3 linked regions of the Rhinolophus ferrumequinum genome follow. The protein of the gene in region 3 interacts with the protein of the main gene of each other region in a pairwise test. Links are inferred from orthologs where the notes say so. Each region holds a gene or a part of one and is shown on either strand. Other genes may lie near its edges.

What was found. The genes of interacting proteins can lie anywhere in the genome.
Region 1: the proteins of EMILIN1 (region 3) and BEX5 interact in binary tests that used the Homo sapiens proteins (3 or more experiments, as listed by UniProt). The two-hybrid records come from large-scale screens. The link is inferred for Rhinolophus ferrumequinum from reciprocal best matches to the Homo sapiens genes EMILIN1 and BEX5.
Region 2: the proteins of EMILIN1 (region 3) and BEX3 interact in binary tests that used the Homo sapiens proteins (3 or more experiments, as listed by UniProt). The two-hybrid records come from large-scale screens. The link is inferred for Rhinolophus ferrumequinum from reciprocal best matches to the Homo sapiens genes EMILIN1 and BEX3.

What each region holds. Positions count from the first base shown.
Region 1 is NC_046284.1:52,322,609-52,328,524, forward strand, and holds BEX5 (protein BEX5), read left to right. Parts: upstream 1-4,789; 5' UTR 4,790-4,818; coding exon 4,819-5,157; 3' UTR 5,158-5,362; downstream 5,363-5,916.
Region 2 is NC_046284.1:51,631,231-51,638,223, forward strand, and holds BEX3 (protein BEX3), read right to left. Parts: upstream 2,250-6,993; 5' UTR 1,975-2,249; intron 1,590-1,974; 5' UTR 1,512-1,589; intron 1,155-1,511; 5' UTR 1,134-1,154; coding exon 795-1,133; 3' UTR 555-794; downstream 1-554. UniProt on the Homo sapiens protein: May be a signaling adapter molecule involved in NGFR/p75NTR-mediated apoptosis induced by NGF. Plays a role in zinc-triggered neuronal death.
Region 3 is NC_046296.1:53,566,703-53,573,954, reverse strand, and holds the start of EMILIN1 (EMILIN-1), read left to right. Parts: upstream 1-4,237; 5' UTR 4,238-4,658; coding exon 4,659-4,828; intron 4,829-5,788; coding exon 5,789-5,914; intron 5,915-6,385; coding exon 6,386-6,606; intron 6,607-7,252. UniProt on the Homo sapiens protein: Involved in elastic and collagen fibers formation. It is required for EFEMP2 deposition into the extracellular matrix, and collagen network assembly and cross-linking via protein-lysine 6-oxidase/LOX activity.

The sequences.
Region 1 (5,916 bases), on a different chromosome or scaffold from region 3:
ATGAGGTATTGTGGGGACAGAGCCAGTAGTGCAGTTTCCAGGCTCTCCGCCACACGTGGAAAGGTGCTGGCTCGGGTAGTAAATGGCCATCAACTGTGATTGGATGGCCATCAGCTGTGGCTAGTTGGCCGTCAGCTGTAACCAGTGAGCCATTGGCCACTAATATAACTGCCATGGCTACGCTAGCAGAAAATGGGGGCTAGCAAGAAGATGGTGGCTGGCAAGCACGTAGTGTGGCAGAGTGTGGATTGCGGATCATGTGGCTCCTGCCTCCTGTGTCTCCAACCCAGCAGCCAGCAAGAACTATAGTGTTATGACTCCCCTATCTATGGCTCCGTGGGTGTTCCTTTTTGGCCTCACCATGTCCTGCATTCTTATGTGGGGAGCGGGACCAGAGACCCCGCAAGCCACCTCGCATGACAGGTATGTAGCACTTTTTGTAGGATAAGTTTGTGAACTTAATTGTCTGATTTTGTATAACAATGACAGTTCTAGGAATTTAATACTCTCATGTTATGTATATAAAAAATACAGCTATGTACAATTAATTTCATTCAACACTCTCATACTTAAAACTATAAACATTCCAAATGTCCATAAATATGGAAATAGATATGTGTATTATCTTTATTTTAAAGGAAAATATTTGGACTGACTTAGAGTAAAATCTGAATAGTATATTTCTTCAGGTAAGGATAAAGCTGATATTTTTCTTCTACTTTATCTGTTTTTTTCTAATTTTACTGCAGGCTCTTTCTGATACCTTGGGAACTTGCTCAGCCCAGACTTAGGACAACTCAGAAGTGCCAGAGATTTTAACATTCCCAGGATGACATCCACCAATAAATGACCCGCACCTGTGGATAAATACTACACATTCCTATCACTAATTGGGATAATTCTACATGGGTCCTTAGACTTAGAGGGTCCCCAGCAGAATTGGGCCAGTTGCCTTTTGGGCATGTCTGTCTCTGGTGCTATATTTTTAACAAAATTTTTCATCCTAATAGTATATAAAAAATAACTGTGGGGACAGAGTCCCAGAGAGCAGTTTCCAGGCCTCACGTGGAAAGGTGCTGGCTCGGGTAGTAGATGGCCGTCAGCTGTGTCTAGTTGGCCATCAGCTGTAACCAGTTAGCCATTACCCACTGATATAACTGCCATGGCTGAGCTAGCAAATGCAGATTGCAGTTAGCAAGTGAGGTTCGTTGGCAGAGAAGTGGATGGCAGGCTGCAGATCACATGGCTCCTGCTCCCTGTATCTCCAACCCAGCCGCCAGCGAGAATATAGTGGTATTAAACCCCCCATCCGTGGCTCCATTGGTGTTCCTTTTTGGCCTTGTCATACCCTGCATTCTTATGCGGGGAGCGGGACCAGAGACCCTGCACGACACCCGGCATGACAATAACATTTATTATATACTCTTTTCAATGTTTTTATGTCTTTTTATCTGAACATTTAGTGTCCGTATGTAAGTGTACAATAAAAATAGGCACTTCATTATTTTTTCCAAATAGATAATCAATTATCCCAGCACCATTTCTTCAGCAATATAAACTCTCCCCACTGATTCAAAATATTTCAATCAGATTACTAATATTTCTCTCTATTTGGGTTTGACAATTGGCTTTTTCATCTGTTTCATTTTTTTCTATATTTATTACGCATATTTTTTAATATTGTAGCTTCACAATATTTTTTTATCTGTCAGCATAACTTTCTCAAATCATTGTTGTGGGGACAGAGCCCCAAAAAGCAGTTTCTAGGCTCTCAGCCTCACATAGAAAGGTGCTGGCTCAGGTAGTAAATGGCCATCGACTGCGATCAAATGGCCATCAGCTGTGGCTAGTTGGCCGTCAGCTGTAACCAGCGAGCCACTGGGCACTAATATAACTGCTGTGGCTACGCTAGCAGAAATTGGGGGCTAGCAAGAAGATGGTGGCTGAGCCTGCAAGCGGCGCAGTGAGGGTTGAGAATTGTGTGGCTCCTGTTTCCTGTGTCTCCAACCCAGCCGCCAGCGAGAGTATAGTGGTATGAGTCCCCTACCTTTGGCTCCGTGGGTGTTCCTTTTTGGCCTCACCATGTGCTGCGTTCTTGTATGGGGAGCGGGAGCAGAGACCTTGCAGGCCGCCCCTCATGACAATTGTTCTGAATTGTTGGAAGACCTCAGCATTGCTCTATTTTAGAGGCTATGCTAGAGTCTAGTTGTCAAGTTGCACTAATAAAATTTAGAGGAAACCCTAAGTTTGTCACAGGCTCTCAAGATCTGAAAACCCACTACCAAGTCTCTACTAGACTCCTGCCTCACTTCACAGAAAGACCACATACAGACCCTTCATAAAGGGGAACCATCAGCTTAGGTTTATATTTCAAAGCCCTTAAAAGGGGGAACTGGTGCTGTCTAGAGGATCTATGTTTATAGGATGAGTCAGCAGCAAAAACAGGTTGCCAAGGTTTTACAACTCGAATCCTATTTTTTAACTGAAAATAATTGTATTGTCTAATTATAACAAGCAAAACATGAATGCACGTCGATAGGAAACAAACAACAATCACCCCTTCAAAAAAATAAATAAACAAAAAGGGAAATAATTAAGGTGAACTTTTTTGTAAAGTCACTTCCTACCTATTTTTCCAGACTTCCTAGCCTCACCTCCCTTCCCTGCTCCGGTTTCAGTCTGGGACAAAACCAAAAAGTCTGTGAGGAGAAATTCAGGACTTTACTTCCTGTTGAATGGAGGGGAGAGAAGTGGGCGTTTAATGGTATAGAAGAGAAAGAAGCAATTCTTTAAAAGCTCTAACAGAAATTAGGGGAAAGGGTAAACACAAATTACAAAAGTTATTGCCCGTTTAGTCTCGAAAATTACTAAATGGCGAGGGCGGGGGGGGGGGGGAATAATAAGGGGTGGGCCGTAGCCTGCGGTAGGGATGGGGAGATAGCGAGAATGAGGAGTAAGGTGGTCCCGCCCACGCTCCCGCCCCCAGCACCTAGCCGCACTGCAGATATGATCGGTAATTGTGATCTGAGCTCACAGTGACACAGTCCTTATGAGACCTAGAACTAACGCGGATTAGTCTTTCCTTCCAGTTGCGGTCTAAGAGTCTTTTGTGGCTGTGCGCTGGCTCACTATTGCCTTGAAAGCAGGCAAGCCGGTAGCCCTGAGGAGGAGGAAGTACAAGCTGACTCCGATCCGTGGCAGGTTCGTGGACACTAACCGAGGTGACAGAGGGCAAAACCAGGGCGGGTCCAGGAATGGATTCTTTCTACCCCTTCCCCAGATACCTACCCGTTTGGTGCAAGAAATGGAGGGCTTGATGGGAGGAGATCGAGAGGGGCCAAGAGTTGAGAATGGGAACCATTTCGGAGCTACTAGGAGGTGGGCGATTGGGCGATGTCTGGAAGGGAAGAACCAGAGAAGGACGGGGAGGAATCAGGAGGGGGACGCAACCGGTGACTCTTGGGGCTGACGAGCTTCGCAACTGGTTGGGGCGGAATTCCGCAACCGGTCTAGGCGTTCATTCCCAGTATCTCTTCACCCTCCGTCCTTTTTGGAGCCAGAAATTGTGGGCTGTGGGAATGAGGCGGGGAGTGGGAGTGGTGGTTGCTGCAGAGGATAGGGAAAGGGATTAGGCTTGGAAAACAGGTCCCTTTTGCGGAGGAGGCTATTGAGTGAACGGGCTTCTAACTGAGGAATATAGGCAGAGAGCTAGAAACTGTTTCTGGACCCTGCAGGTCGTGTATGCCTGGGTGCTGCTTGCAGACCGTGGGGTAGGCATGACAAATCGCTGTTAACCGCAGCGGGTCCGTGATTGCAATGCCCATATTACCTGTTCACCCTTCGTCCATCTTGATACATAAAATGATGGGCAATGGAAGAAAGGTGGGCTCGAAAAAGGCCACTGGGTCCCAAAAGGTCCTAGGGGATACCCAGATTGACATGCTTTATAAATAAACCACATCGCTACCCAGTAAGCTCTTCTGACAACCCCGCCCCAAAAGTTGTCCGTTTGTGTTCAAGAAATGGTAATTAGGTGACAGGAGGGACGGAAGAGTGGGGTAAGGGACCTAAAGAAGAGGTGAGATTGGTTTGGAAATAATAATATTTGATTACAATGCCTATTTCTGGACGGCGGGGTAGTGCATTACAGGGTAAGAAAAGAAGCCGTGAAACCAGATGGAGGAGAAAGAGATGGTGGCAATATTTGACTAGCAGAGTCCTAAATAAACAATGAAGCTGGTGCTTCCCACCCCATATTGTCCTTTAATCAAGGGATCAGTCCTGGCCATTGTCATATTTCTGTCTGCAGGTGTTGAGATCCGTTGGTGCAGCAGATTTCAAGGCTAAGAGAGGAACAGTGCTTCTGATCTCTGTAGGTAGGAGGGTGCCTGGGGTCCTGTGGTGTAGAGGGTATCAGGGATCAGAACAGGATCTGGGGGACTCAGCCCTCCCTGCTCTACTTAAGTGCATGAGAAACCTGGCCAAGTCTTTAGAAATTAGGCCTGTGTCTGGTGAGCAAAGAAGGGAGTAGAAGGGCAAGGTCTGGGGTGCCCCTGGAGGGCTTCTCAGGATCCCTGGTCTCTCAACCACTGTCCCTCCCACCACTTGTCGTAGGTTTTGTGTGAGTTGTGGTCTAGGGAAGGATTTTCAGGAAAAATGGTGGGCTTTGTGGCAGAGCTGGGTCTGGGGCGCCCCCTAGGGGGTGCATGAAGTCTCTCAGATGGGAAAACCTTCACCCACAGAGCTCTGAATCCTGTTGTTGCATGTATTGAATCCCTTTTCTTGCTTTTTATCTCCTAGGAAGAAGCAGAAAAAAATATGGAAAATAACCCCCAGGAAGTCAAAGGAAGGGAGCAGGCTCCAGTGCAGAATGAAAATGCCTGCCCTTTGGGAGGTGGTGAAGGCCAGGAGCCTGGAGGAAATATTAGAGGGGATTGGGCTCCACCTGCCCAGGATTTTAGAGAGGATATGCCCAACAGGCTTGTCAATAACATTGACATGATAGATGGAGATGCAGATGATATGGAACGGTTCATGGAGGAGATGAGAGAGCTAAGGAGGAAAATTAGAGAACTTCAGTTGAGATACAGTCTGCGCATTCTTATAGGCGATCCCCCGCACCATGACCATCATGATGAGTTTTGCCTTATGCCTTGAATGCTAAGGTTAATAATCATAAATCTCCTGCCTCCCACAATTACATTTTCTTGATGTACTTATTGCTGTGATCCTTTGGTGTTCTGTCATTTTTCTCATTGGAGATTTCATTTTGACTTAGTCTGTAACTTTTTCTGTCAGCAGGGAAGTTTCATCAACTTGCATGGGAAAATGTTTAATAAATATCGTAAATAAAACAGTTTAAAAAGCAGTCTATAGATACACTATCTCATTTACAAGCATGCATATTATATATTAATATGTCAGAATGTGTTTTTTCTTATTTATTTTTCTTTTTTCTATTTTTTTCCTCAAAATGAATACACGTGGATTATATGTATCAGAAAAAAAGTAAGAAGCAAAGAATTTGCCAATCAGCTTATAAAGAGAATGGAGACAATTAAGTACTTGCAACACAATTTAAACACATAAATCTTATATTACCTCTGGATCATTATGAGTATCTCACGGTTTTCTTTTTCACTTATATCCTGGCTATTCTTGTATTTTTTAAAAAACACAAGTATTCTAACAACTTCTTTAATTCCATAAAAATGTTTGCTGATATCTTTGAGATTGTATTAAATTCATACATTGACTGAGGGAGAATTGAAATGTTTTTAATGTTGAGTTGTACCAAACACAATGAATGTTTTTCCTCTTATTGAAGTTTCCTTCTGTGTCCTTCATGAATATTTTAAAATATTTTAATATATGTTCTTATTCAGTTTATTCATATGCATTTAATCTTCCTTGTTG
Region 2 (6,993 bases), on a different chromosome or scaffold from region 3:
ACCAGGGGAGCAGGAGTATTGCAAATATGAGGAATGACAAGGTGGATGGAACCCACCTATTTTTGCCCTCTGGACTTGTGAGCATGTGTGAAAACTCCCTTTAGTCCTTCTCACGTACCTGATGAGGACCAGGGTCCTGTTAAATGCTGGGGAATTGCACTGGAGGCAGCTCAACAGAGTTCCACACCTCATCTATTCCACTCAGCAGCCATTTAAGGCAAGTATTATTCTCCATTTTACAGCAAAGAAGACCATCTCTTTAAAGGACTATATCCGTACTAAAGGAGGGTTTATTCTTCCAGGTGAGGCTGGAAGATACTAAAAGTTCTCTTCTTTAAGTTTGTAGAATCAGTAATTGTTATGTACCTGTACTACATTCATAGACTCATTGAAAAATTGTTTTTTATTGCTTCCACAACTCCAAATAAAAGGGAAAAAAGTTACAAGATTACCCAACCACAGAGAAATGTGTTCCAATCAACAGCACGGGGGATTTGATTTCAGAGTTTTCAGAGGGTTCAACATGTTTTTTAATGACACAATAAATGTACAGATTGCTTTTTAATTGCTTTATTAACTTTACATTTTTTCCATGCAAATGGGTGAAACTGCTGTTGACAGAAATTTAAGACTGGGTGCCAAGGCAATCTCCAATTAGAAGCTGGTAATACAGAACCCACCTGACACATGGAAATTACATAAGGTTCACAGCAAACGGATCAGTAAAGGCATATCAGGAAATGCAAGGAAAAAGAAAACAGTGGGAATATTAATCTCATGGAAAATGGCAAGAGTCAAGGCATAAGGCAAAATTCATCATGATGGTCATGGTGATTAGAGAGCTCCTCCATAAGGATACGCAGACAATTCCTCAACTGCAGCTCCCTAAGTTTTCTCCTGATTTCTCTCATCTCTTCCATGAACATTTCCATATCATCTCCATCTCCACCCATCCCATCATTGACCTGCCTATTGGGTATGGCCCATCTGAAGTTAGGGGCAAGTCGGCGAGCCTGTCCCCGTCTATTATTTCCTGCTGGCTGGTGGCCTTCGCCCCCTCCCAAAGGGCGGTCTTCCTCTCCATTCTGCATGTGCTGCTCCATTTCTTCGATTTCCTGGTGGATATTTGCCATGATTTTTTTCTGGTTGTTTTTCTTTGAACACAAGTAAGACAAGGGCAAGGAGAGATTAAATGCTAGGTACACTGACCAGTAGGACTCAGAACCCTGATATCAAAAGTTTTTTAAATTTCGTTTTTTTTTCTCACCTTAGGAGCTTTGTGCGCCCTCTAGGGGACCTCCAACTCGAGCCCCACCCTCCAGCTCTCTCCTTTTCCCTCCCTCCCCCAAAGCCCACCATTTTTTCCCTTCCCAAGATTCTTTCCCAGAGCTCAGCAGACACCAAAATGGAGGACGGGAGACGGGGAACCGGGCATGGGGAACTCGGGGGGGAGGGGCATGTCTCAGACTGGGCTCTGCACCCGCCCTTCCCCCAAAGTCCCCCGCACCCACCTGGGCCTATCCTTGCTGTCTCCGCCTTCTCCCGATTCTCGTCCGGAGTGCGCAGCCCCAACACTTGGACCCGCAGACCTGCAGAGAGTGGGAGTAGGGACCCGGGGCTGCTGCAGTAGAGCGCTGGGTGTCCACCCGCCGCCGCCAGGCCCCTTCCCGGCCCCGACCCCTGCCGATGCCCCCGGCCGCTCCCGCCCCGCGTCTCCCGCCGCCACTCCCCACACTGGGTTCATCATTTTTCGGCAGAAGCTCGGGGATGATTTTCCATCGCTGAGTTGCTCTGCTGCCCTCCCTGGGACCCTGTCGCCTCAGCATCCCCACCCCCTGGAGGGGGGTCACTATGTTCCCAAGAATTCCGGGTGTGGAGAAAGCCCGCGGGGACCGCTGCGCTGATCTCCAGCGCCGGCCTCCGGGGTTGGCTGGCAGCTGCCGCACTGGCCTCCGCGCGGCCTCAGGCCCTTACCTGCTCTGCTTTCCCCGGGCCCGATGCCAGCCCGCCGTGTGCAGGGCAGCGGGGAGCTGGTACCCAGACAGGAGTGACGACTGCACCGAAGGCTGCGTCGCTCTGCAGCTCCCGGTCACGTGAGGGCCCCGCGTCACCAACCAGCTCGCCCCCCAACTCCCTCAGCCAGTGTAGCAGGAGCGCGGCCCCCCTTCCTCGCCTCGTGCACAGGCACAGAACAACTCTCTCCGCCTGTTTGTGCGCGAGGCCTCAGCGCCCACCTCCCTGTCACTCATCTCAGTCCGCTCCAATCTGAGGGCCCACAAGTGGCATCACCTCCCTGGGGCTGGAGTTTGCCCTTCTCTGTTTACCTAGGAGGGTCTGCAACACCCTCCACCCCTCCCCTTCGCGCCCCAGGCCTTGGTTTTGCTTTGTGTCCTCTTCTCGCGGGCCACCTTCCTATCTCCCCCACCCCCACATACCCCGCACTAAGCACAGCCACTATTGCTCATCTTGTCCTCTGAATTCTTTCCCTACTAGGAAATTTAGAACGAGGGCTAGGGTGAGGAGGGAGCTGGGGACTTGTCAGAAAGAGCGTCAAGGAGGTAGAGCGGGTTGTATATATCCTTCCCAATAATTTCTCTTAATTTCTTTTTTTAATCAGCTAGCCTCAAAAAATTAAAAATTACTTAGTTTCATTTTGGAAAGAAATGCTTCATCCTGCAGAATGAAGCAGCCTCACTGATTATGTTCACGTGTACCACACAGAAAATATTTTCGCTGGCTCCACACATCAAACCACTTTTAAAACACAGCCTTGTTTCAAAATTTCATTTTGAGAAAAGGGAGGCATCTTCCTGAATGCAGTTGGGTGTTTTCAAAATGATCTGTAAAGTAAATCTTTAGGGAGAAGTCCAGTTGTCAGATCTTGGCCATTTTATATAAATTTAGGTGATGTTTTTGATACCACAGTCTTTGGAGGAAAGGAGCCTTTTTATTTCCTGCTTTTCTTTCCAAACCTCCAAACCATCCCTACAAATACCTCCGTAGAATGATCTCAGATGTTAAGTATATAATATGCAGAAGTCAGTTCCAAAGCCATCTGCCTTAGATGTTGGTTGTGATAAAGGAACCAAGAGTTGTGTGCTCTGAGGCAAGACAGGCCAGACAAATGCTTACTGCCTCTAGGTTTGGCTCCAAACGCCTATGTAACCCCCTATCCTGCTAAACGCCTATGTAATCCCCTATCCTGCTAAACTTGCTGAGGCATTGAATAAAGGAAGAATATATGCCTAGTGCATATACCGGGGGTGCCAAAAATATGTATACAAGTGGACACTTTGGTCAACATTGCTCAAGCAGTAGTTTGCCATAATCAGAAGTGTCTGGACACTGATAGTAACCACTTTGAGCACCTCCTATAACGGCAGAAGTCAAATGTGACTTGTATCTATCTTTTGTTATAGGTATATATCATTACAATTTTAATACAGTTTTCCTTTCTTAAAATGTGTATACATTTTTTGGCACCCTCTGTATAGTCTTATATACGTGCTTTTAGAGCGATACGGTGTCAACCAAAAGGTCACTGTCACCAATCCAGTGCCAACAGGTATCCCCAATTTGGCCTGTGGTAAAAGGAAAGACTTTATTCAGGTGAACAGTTTGTAAAAACGGGCAAATACAGCCTCAGGTGGAAACCGAAATTGTGCTCCCCCAAGACAAAGGGGAGGCCCACTTATATATAAAAAGTGCCTGACCTGGTCCCTGACTGTCCCATTTTTGTGCAAATAAGGAATCCAAATTTGCACAGTTTGGTCCAAATAGCACTGTCCTGATTGGTCAAAATTGTGCATCCTGATTGGCCATTATGGAGCTGCTCTGATTGGTTGGTAAAAATGCAAAAGAGGATATAGATGCACAGCTTCGATTGGATGAGGTAGGTCTCAGCCCATGAAGTTTAGCAAGTGATCAAAATATGATTCCGGGAACTCCTTTATAAGGGTCAGCTCTGCCAGGAGGAACATAGTACAGGAGGCTTGGCAGCTTGGTCTGCAGCTTTCCCTGATACGTAGTGTGAGAGGCCGCTATAAACAATGGCTGCTAGACACTTATTATGAATTTGGGCCCTATTAATCATAAAGAGTCCTTCTTAGCAGATATATTCCTTCTTGATGTTCACAATTGATATATTAATATATAGCTCCAAAAGCTCAAATTACAAAATTGCACCCAATAATTCTCTTTTAAAAGAATGCTAGTGATTCCTGGGTTCTTTCTCACAGTTAACAACTTTTCATATAGATAGCTGTATTAGTGATATTGGCTGAAAGGATGCTGATTAGAAACATAAGCTATTGGAATCAGATACGTCTGGGTGTAAATCCTGTCTCTACTACTAACTTGATGTGTGACTTTGGGTCAATTACTTATCAAGATCTCTGTTTCCTTTGTGAAACAGGGATTGTTAGAAGTAAATCACATATATCAAGTACTTACCACAGAACCTAATACATTTTCAATAAAAGTTAACTCATTTCTTTTTTTACCATTATGTTAGATGGTTTCTAACAAAATTTGAAGAGTAGGCAGAGCGGAATTCTTTCCTTAGCTAGATCAACTTGTCTTTAAAATCCATGAAGTCCCAAAACACATCTTCTTTGTTCTATTTTGCATATCCAGTGACTATGAGTTCCTTATACCAAGCAGGTGATTAGTGAATATTTGTTGACTGAATGAATCCACAACTGAATGACTTTTCATTCAGGGGGCTGTATGTAAAGTAATACAGTAAAGTTTTTATGAAAATTAGGAATCACCTAGAAAGAATTTCCTTAAGGTAGAGAAACTACTGTGACATAACCATTAAATATGAAGTTTAGCAAGGGGATTTTTATTTCTTTTAGTGGCTAAATGTTTTGCTGTTGTCTTTTTGTTGTTGTTGTTGTCTTTTTGACCCATATGGGACAAGTCTTTTGTTTGAAACCACCAAATATTCTTGGATGAAAGCATACATTTGTATATTTTTCCAGATCAGGTGTTATGCTATATAGAAGGTTGGTTATAATGAAAGTGCTGTTTTAAAGGTAGGTGAAAATTGTCCTGGAAATGTTATCTTTACTAAAATGTTATGAGGTATTGATTGAGATCTCTTCTTATCCCCTGGAGTTTTCTGAGGAGTTGGAGCTAGATAACAACATGTTAAGAACAAAATTTTAAAGAAGTCCAGGGCTAAGTTAGAAGGACACAAGAGTTTTAGTTTGGGACTCATGTGCCCTGAAGGACAGGAAGAGGGTGAACTGGTTTGATGACTCTTACCCCGAAATAATAGAAGGGTAGTGTAGTACTGGGAAGAAGGAAACTGGGCTCACATTTGGGGAAATACAATATTTGTAAAAAAGAACCTATCCCCTCTCCTTATCTCCTGTAACTATGGTAGATGGTGGCATTTGATTGGTTCCCTTCCTCAAAGCTAAGGGAGTAGGATCATAAAAGAATTGTAGATAAAGTTTAGGGATATCTACAAGATAGCAAGGTTCACTTCTCATTCCTCTGCGGGATATCTGCATTACTACTGGGATTTTGAGCTACCTAGGTGCTATAGGAGCCTGGAAAGAACATTTTGCAGAGATGACGTGATGGTGTGGCCAAGTGGAGAAAGGACTGGGGTTGACCCCCTACCAAAGTGCCTAATTCTGGATAGGTGTGAAAAATAAATCCTACCATGTCTACAGGCTCTGGAGTTGTTGCTGGGGAGAAGATAGTTGTTGAGATACAGGCTTACCAGAAACTTACAGAATATGGCAAAGAGATCTATGACTCACAGGAATGTTGTGTGAGGGTCATCAGCTAGGAGTCACATGCAAGATATGGCTCAACCTTCTAGGCTGCCAGCAAAACCTAAGGAAGCTGCTTGGGTGTGAGTCTTTATCAGCAGGCTTTATAGAAATCAAACTTGAGCTACAGTGATGATTAATCACATGGAGATAGCAATCTTACCCTAAGTAGTCAGATAAAGAGTGTCTTTTTATCCACTTCCTCCAAATTCTCAAACCATCTGAGTAAACACAGGGAAGGAGGGGGTGATGGTTCATTTTATGTGTCAACTAGGCCATGAGATGCCCATATACATGTATCTGGCTAAACATTATTTCTGGGTTCATCTGTGAGTGTGTTTCTGGAAGAGCTTAGCATTTGAATTGGTGAACTGAGTAAAGCAGGTGGCCCTCCCCAATGTGTGTGTGGGGGCATCATCCAATCCATTGAGGGCCTGAACAGAACAGCAGAGGAAGATTGAATTTGCTCTCTGCCTGACCACTTGAGCTGGGATGTTGATCTTCTTCTGTCCTTGGCATTCCTGATTTCCAGGAATTCTAATACAGACTGGTGTCTACACATCAGCTCTCCGGTTCTCAGGCCTTTGAACTACACACCAGTTTTCCTGGCTCTCCAGCTTGCAGACAGCACACTGTGGGACTTTCCAGCCTCCATAATTGTGTGAACCAAGACCTTTATCTATCTATCTATCTATCTATCTATCTATCTATCTATCTATCTATCTATCTATCTATCTTTTCTATCTTTCTATCTCTATCATCTATAGATATAGATAAGTAGATAGATATCCTAGAAGGATGAGGAGGACTCTGAATCAAAATTGAGACTGGCATTTTAAAATACAAAGAACCAAATCTTTAACAGCCCAATTTTGCTTTATTTTAATAAGCAAAAGTGACTGAAAAGTTGGGGAACAAGACTGAGATGTAAATAAGCCCGTTACCCACTAGAAAGTGGGGGAATGATAGAACTAGCACTAGTAAGGCAGTTATTGGAAAAATAAAACTGTTTCGTGATTTTACTTCAACTAATTATCCCTCAAACTGTAGACCTATTGGATAAATATCCTATCAGAGGAAGCTCATTTTTACTGAATTTTTTTTTCTTGCCTGTTGCCATGATATAGCTCACGTGTATTTGCTGGAAATGCATCCAGTTGGATTGTAGTTATTGTCCTATTTTTCTCTATTATACTCTCCTGGG
Region 3 (7,252 bases):
CCCGGTGATTAGTGTGATATTTTCAAGGAAAAAATAGGAGGTTAGTGTTAGACTCAGGAGTGAAAAAGCAACAAAACCTAGAAAAAGGGGACTGGACCCTGAGTCCAGGGAGGTTGACACCTAAAGTATTGTACCTATCAGAAGGGTTGAAAGGGAAAGGAAATGTATACATTTGAGGACGGGTGGACTTTTGCTCGAGAGTCCCCACAAGCTCGAATTCGCATCTGGGTTTGTATGATCCGAAGGCCCAATTCACATTTTTCCCTCCCAATATTCAGTCCTCTGATAGTATTGACATAAAATGTCCTTACTACTAGTGCCCTGGGTGTTCTGGCCCTGGGATATGAGCTCGTTGCTCAGCCAGTGATGGTTGACTGAACGAGTTAGTTTGCCTAGTATAGCCAAGATTTCCCATTGATACTACCTTGGAAAGCCCCCATCTTGGAGAGGTTATAAAATAGATATTGTCTTAGTGCCCCAGGACTTAGCCTATTTTGATCTCAGGAATTCTCTTGCCAGTTGCTTTGGAAATGTGTGGCTATCTGCCAGTACCACCACTGCAGCCACCACTGTATTCTCTCTAAACCTAGTCTCCATTGCAGCCTGCTTGCCCAACACCTCAGGCCTCCCCAGTGAACCCTGGAATTGTTCTCCCCGGTGAACCCAGAGCCACTGATTTATCAGATCTCACAGACATGTCAGCCTCTAGGTCTTGGCTCCTAATTACAAGACTAAATGAAATGCAACCTACTGCAATTGTATTTCAAAGACAACATTTTGACTCGACACACTTAAAACACAACCAATTTTTACACTTAAGGGGACAGGCGAAGGAATGGGTGACACTGGGCAGTGACAAGATGGCTGGGAAGAATTTTTAGGTTGCCAGAGGCCCCATGAAGGGAGAGAAAAGGGGGAAGAGCAGAGAAAGTAAACCTATACCAGTAGCCAGGGCAACTAAGAGGGGGGAAGTGGATTGGCTTCCTGCCAGGGCCAGGGCCTAGAACTCATGCTGAGTGGGGACAAAGCCGCACCCTTCCGGGGACAGCCACTTTGAAATCAGGGTCTCCTAGGACCATTTCCTTCAAATCTGCCTGTGTGCTGATCTCTACACCTCTGAGGGGCAGCCACAAATTTCCATCTCTTGGTTCCAGTGCTTCCTTTCACCATCCTGTCTTTTCACCAACGTGGCTTTCAGCCATCAGGATCATGTTCTGTGCCATAGAACCTCGGGGTGACATTGAAGATTTGGTGGCGTCTGTTATCATGTTTTCCAATCATTGCTCTACAAATGGTTCCCAGAATCAAGACCCACATTTCTAACCACCTCCTGGACATTTATTTCCGTTGAGATGTGTTATTATCTTAAACTCAGTACAGGTGTACCTCAGAGATACTGCAGGTTCAGTTCCAGGCTGCACAATAAAGTGAGTATTGCAATAAAGCGAGTCGTGATCTTTTTGCTAGTGGAGAAAGTAAATTTGTAAAAATGTATATAATTTTTAATTTGTAAAAAAAGGCAACATCTGTGAAGCACAATAAAACAAGATATGCCTGTATATCCAAACTAAGGTCATCTTTCTTTCCTCCAAACCTGCTCCTCTCCTCCACTTACCCATCTGCGTTAGAACCCTGGAATCCTCTCTGGTATCTCTTTCAATCAGGTCCCTCATTACCCAGGCAGTCCCAGCCTTCTCTTCCAGCTCTGCATCTTTGCAATATAGAATTTGGAAGGGCCCTTAGACAACAGGCAACAGACCCCCAGTGGAGTCATGGGATTTGCTCAAAGTGATACCACTACGTTTAGAGGAGGTGCTGGAACTGCTAGCATCCTCGTGCCCTAACACCGTGCCCATTGCTCTTGCCAACAGTGTCTTCTTTCTGTGTGTGTATTAACCCTCTACTCAAAAGCTTGTAACCCAAGCACTTAACCAGTCATCTGAGCCTCTCCCTAATTTTTCCACATTCAACGTCTCTTTTTGTGCCACTTCTTCTTGACACAAATAAGAGCTGACGTGTATTGAGCATTTACCACATACCAAGCACTATTCTAAATGCTTTACATGTATTAACTGAATCCTCAAAAACCTAGGAAGGAGGGTACTGTAAACAAAAATCTGGACATACCTTTTTAAAGAAATGTGAAGAGTTCATTCAGGTAATGGTTTGCAAACTAGGAAATGTAGTCCTTGGTATGAAAAGAAAATATGCTCCAAAATGAAGGGGACAGGGCAGGGTTATAAAGGCAAAAGTTGCAAGGAACTAATGTGATCAAAGAGATGGGTTGCTAGGGGAAACAAGATCATAAACTTACCTCATTTGTTTTCTGATTGGTGGGGGGGCAAACTGAACTTTCTGTAGTTGACTGACTCAGTGATTGAGCAAGTGGAGTTGTGAAGTGAGAACAGTGGGTAATGTATGATTAAGCATTCATCACGTCTTAGTTTCAGTCCAGGCCTGTAGAGCAAAAAGACTGTCTTTGCTCACATAATTATATTAGGTTGGTGCAAAAGTAATTGCGGTTTAAAAGGTTAATTGCAAAAACCGCAATTACTTTTGCACCAACCTAATAGTACTGGGAGTATTATTTAACAGCGACACAAGGAGTACAATTTATTTAACAGCACAATCAGCACTGGGGGACTGCTCGCTCTGCAGGCAGTTTCAGAGCCCAAAAGGGCAGCTTCAGAGCTCAAGCTGCAAAAATCCAAATTTGGGGCCACCAGTTATGATACCAAAGTTGTTTTAAGTCTTCAGTTCTATCATTAGTCCCACGTTACAGAAAAGGAAACTGAAGCAGACCACATTCCCCAACCTGAAATTTCTCCCCTCAACTGTCTCTCTCTTTTTTTTTTACACCCCTCTCCCCTCACTGTCTCTATTCTTCAATTTTTACCCCCAACGCCATTCAAGTTGTACCTTTTTCAACAGCTTTTCTCTCTCTCCCCCAGCAGCCAGCTGTCTTTGTCCTTCTCTTACCCAGAACACACCTCATCCACAAATGTCTGGATGAACACTCCACAAATGTCTGGCCCCCTTGGCACTCTGTCTATCCTGCTTTGTGTTTGTTTTCTGTTCTGGACCTTGTGTCCCATTCCCCAACAGCCCCAGCTGCTCCTCACTGAGTCTTACAGTTGCCTGTGCTACCTGGGTGCCTCCATAGTGCTTGGCACACAGCGCTCTCATCTAGTACTTCCACTTCATTCTCACAAGCAAGCATCTCACCACACAGGGAGACCTGGTCCAGAACACAACGCTGAGGGCCAGGTGGTGAAGAGGGGCAGCTGACAGATTCAGACATCTCAGGAAGAGCTGTCGGGTCAGGCCGATGGTTGAGTTTGACTGAGTTCCTTGCCTGCTACGGAGGTTATCAGACTTGCCTTCAGGCTAGGGAGTGACTTCCTTTTCTATATAGATAGGGCCCTATTTTCTATATAGATACCTCCCTCCCCTCCCCAACTTAAGGCCTGACACTCACTAAGACAAGCCTGGGACCCATATTCATTTGGCCTTTTAAAAGGCTCCCTCCTCTGCTCCCCCTTCTCCAGATTCCTTTCTTCCTTTTCTGGCGTCTCTGAATTTCCTGCCTGCCTCAGTGGAGTCCTTTTCCTTCTACTTGACCCAGTAGCCCTCTCTCCTATCCGCCTTCTTTCTCTCAAGTCATGACCTAGGTATTTAGATTCTAGTCTCAGCCCTGCTGTTGATCTGCTGTGTTACCTTGAACAAGTTACTCTCCTTCTCTGGGCCTCAATTTTCATATCTATAAAAAGGAGAGAGCTGGACTGGTTGTGAGTGATGTCCTGCGGAGCCCTCCAAGCCTGTTCTCCTATTACAGTCCTCCCTCCTCCTGTCCCCTCCAGGCCCCTCTCTCAGGTCTATCCCAGGGGAGGCCTGCCCTAGCCCCAGGAGAGCTGTGGCTCCAGCTCCTGTTCCCCGGTTCCCCGTCTAAGCAGCCAGCCCTGGGCCTCCTCCCCAGCCCTGGCCCCGGCTCTGCTCCATGTGGCCCGTCTGAGAGGCTGGCCCTAAGCCCGGCGGCAACTCCACATTTCTCTGTTTTTCCTTTTTTTTTTCCCCTCTTTTTCCCGGAGTTAACAAGAAGCAGATGTGGCGCACGATGGTTGGAGAGGTGGGGGGAGGAAGGGGGAGGCTGGACCGCCAGCCAGACAGGGGGGAAGGGAGGGGAGTAAGCAAGAGAGAGAGGCGGGAGGCCAGGGCCCGCCCCACACAGCCACTCTAGCGCCTCTGGACAGCCACAGGGGTAAAGTCCTGTCACCCCCAGGATCCGGTCATTGGGGAAAACAGATAGGGGACCAGAGGAGGGCCAGCTGGGGCAAGGGGGCGGAGGCCCAGGAAGCAGCATCTGAGAGGGGCAGGGACCAGGCACAGGAGGCCGGGGGCACTGAGAACAAACTCCCCTCAGAGGTGGAGAAGAGGAGAGCGGAAGGAACGAAGGGAAGAACAGACGGGAGCCTGAGGAGGAAAGAGGAGGGGGAGAGAGGTCAGGCCAGGAGGCCAAGGAGGAGGCGAGTGGCTGGGGGCTGCCAGCAGGAAGCTGGGGACAGGACCCAACTTGGAGCAGCGGGCATCCCCACTCCAAGCAGAGGCGCCAGTGGTCAGGCGGGATGTGCCTCTGAGGGCCACAGCGGAGCACCCCCACCATGGCCCCCAGGAACCTCTGGAGCTGCTATCTCTGCTGCCTGCTGACCACAGCTGTGGCGGCAGCTAGCTACCCTCCTCGTGGTTACAGCCTCTACATGGGGAATGGCGGGGCCCTCAGCCCTGGTGGGCCCCAGGCCCAGAGTGCCCCCCGGCCTGCCAGCCGCCACAGGTAAGAATCTGGGTCCCAGCCCTACGCTGGAGGTAGGTGGGAGGGTGGGTCAGAAGGTGGGTATCCTGGCCCTGCCCCACTTTGGCTACCCTCTCCTGGGCTGTATCGCCAATGCAGGGAAGAACGGGAGAGGAAACCCATCCATCAGATGGCTCCTCACACGCCCACCTTCCTGCCGGGTGTTTCCAGGGCCCCCCTGCATAGATGGGTCCCATCAAACCTCATAGGATCGGCTCTCACGTCCTCCCCATGGGACGTGCCGTTAGGTGCCCAGGGAAACTACCCTGAGGGACGTGGGCCAGGCCTTCCGGCCAGCTGTGTGCCAGCCTGGGATCCTCGGGCAGACCTTTTATTTCTGTGTAGGGCTTCCTCGGCCCATCTAGTAATCCATGATTTTAACACCACTCCTGCTCTGCTCCCTTCGGGTCTCCAGCCGGACACAGATCAGAGGCCAGCATGAATGGGGCCAAGAGTGCAGAACTGCAAACCCCATGGGGGACAGGGCTCATCAATGGCTTATTCTCTGCTTAACCTTGAGCTGGACCCCTGCCTGCCCAGTCCTCTCCCCTGCGGGGCGGGTGGAAGCCAGCATCCAAAGAATCACCAGAGGGCCCCCGCCAGCCGGCTCATACAGGCCACGCCAAGCTGGGGATTCAGACAGCGAAACGAATGAATGTGTGAATTCAGAGCCTCTCCAGGACCCCCTCCCCAGCCATGTATCAACTTTTTGTAGTTGTGGTTTTCCATTCTGTGCCTCTTCTCCTGTCTTGAAAAGTCTTTATTGACTCCGTCCCGTACAGGAAGGCGTGGGGGGAGCTGCCCCGGCCAATGCCCTGGCTCCCACTGGTCCCCAGGGGCCCTTCATCTTTTGACCCTCCCTCAGCCCTTCTGGTAGCCTCAGTGCCCTGCTCTGGGGCGTGTGTCTCTGGCCCTCGGGCCCAGGTGAGGTTGTGCCTGCAGGAACTGGTGTGCCTACGTGGTGACTCGGACAGTGAGCTGTGTCCTTGAGGATGGAGTGGAGACCTTCATCAAGCGCGAGATCCCGGCCTGTGGCTGGGGCCAGCCCCAGTGTCACCGCAGCATGATGTGAGCCCCGGCGCTGGGGAATGGGTAGTTGGAGGGGGCTGGGCTAGGACGGAAGGCGACCAGCCAACTCAGGGAATTTGTACAAAGCAGGTAATTGTGGCAAGGGGCAGGACCAGGGGTTTCAGTCGGAGCCATTTTGAGAAGATGCCGAGGCAACATTTTGGTGGGATATTGAGGACACACTTACCAAGACTACCCTGCCAGCCCCCGAATGCCATCTCCTTGCTGGGTCATGCTCAAGGAGAGGAGTTCAAGGTTCCAGCACAGCACAAGGGGAGAAAGAATAGGGATTTGGCCCTTGGCCAGCAAGCTGACAGCTGTCAATGGAGCCAGGCCGCATGCTGGACAGTAAGGGTGGCCCAGCCTGAGGGACAGGTCTTGCCCACCAGCAGCTGCCCATCTCTGAGGACAGGGGCCAGGGTCACTGACCGTACAGGGAAGAGTAAAGAGCCCTCCCTCTACCTCTCCCAGGTACCGCAGCTTCCTCCGCCCTCGCTACCGCGTGGCCTACAAAACAGTGACGGATATGGAGTGGAGGTGCTGTCAGGGGTACGGGGGTGATGCCTGTGCCGAGAGTCCTGCCCCAGCGCTGGGTCCTGCACCGACCACACCACGCCCCCGGCCCCGGCCCGGCCGCCCCAACCTCTCAGGTTCCAGTGCGGGCAGCCACCTGAGTGGACTAGGGGGGGAAGGTGAGTATGGGAGCCCTGGGGAGAGAAGTGGGAGATGGGATTGGGTGGAAAATGTGGTCAGGATGTTGAGGGAAAACCCCATGCTCCAAGTCAGAAAAACAGGGGCAGAAGGGAGTTAATGAGATCCCTGAGATTCCCTGTCCGTGCATACATGCGCGCACGCGTGCGTGCCTGCGTGCGTGTGTGTGTGTGTGTGTGTGTGTGTGTGTAACAGATTAAGAGACCAAGAGAAAAAGGCAGAGAAAGTGAATGTGCTCACGCACGCCCACATGTGGCCAACATACTTCCTAGTTGGGAACAGCTGCGGGAGGAAGGGGGAATTCCTTCGAGAAGCTTGGTCCAAAGGGGTAGACAGTTGAGACTACAAGTCCTAGCATGCACTGCAACCGACTACAGGTCCCAGGCCTCTCGGTGGCCTCTGGAGACGGCAGGTCCCAGAATGCAGCAGTTCCTGTTGCTTTCCCATGTGTGTGCTGGGCGCTGCGGATGTGCTGTGTTTGCCTGCCAGAGAGATAACCATGATGTAATTATAGAAACAGGAACTTCTGGCCAACTCTCCCCGCATCCAGCCAGAGCCCCCGCAGGCTTGCCACGGAACCTTGTTTGTCCCGTGGTGTTGCAGAGAGGTGCTGTTCAGGAATAGCCA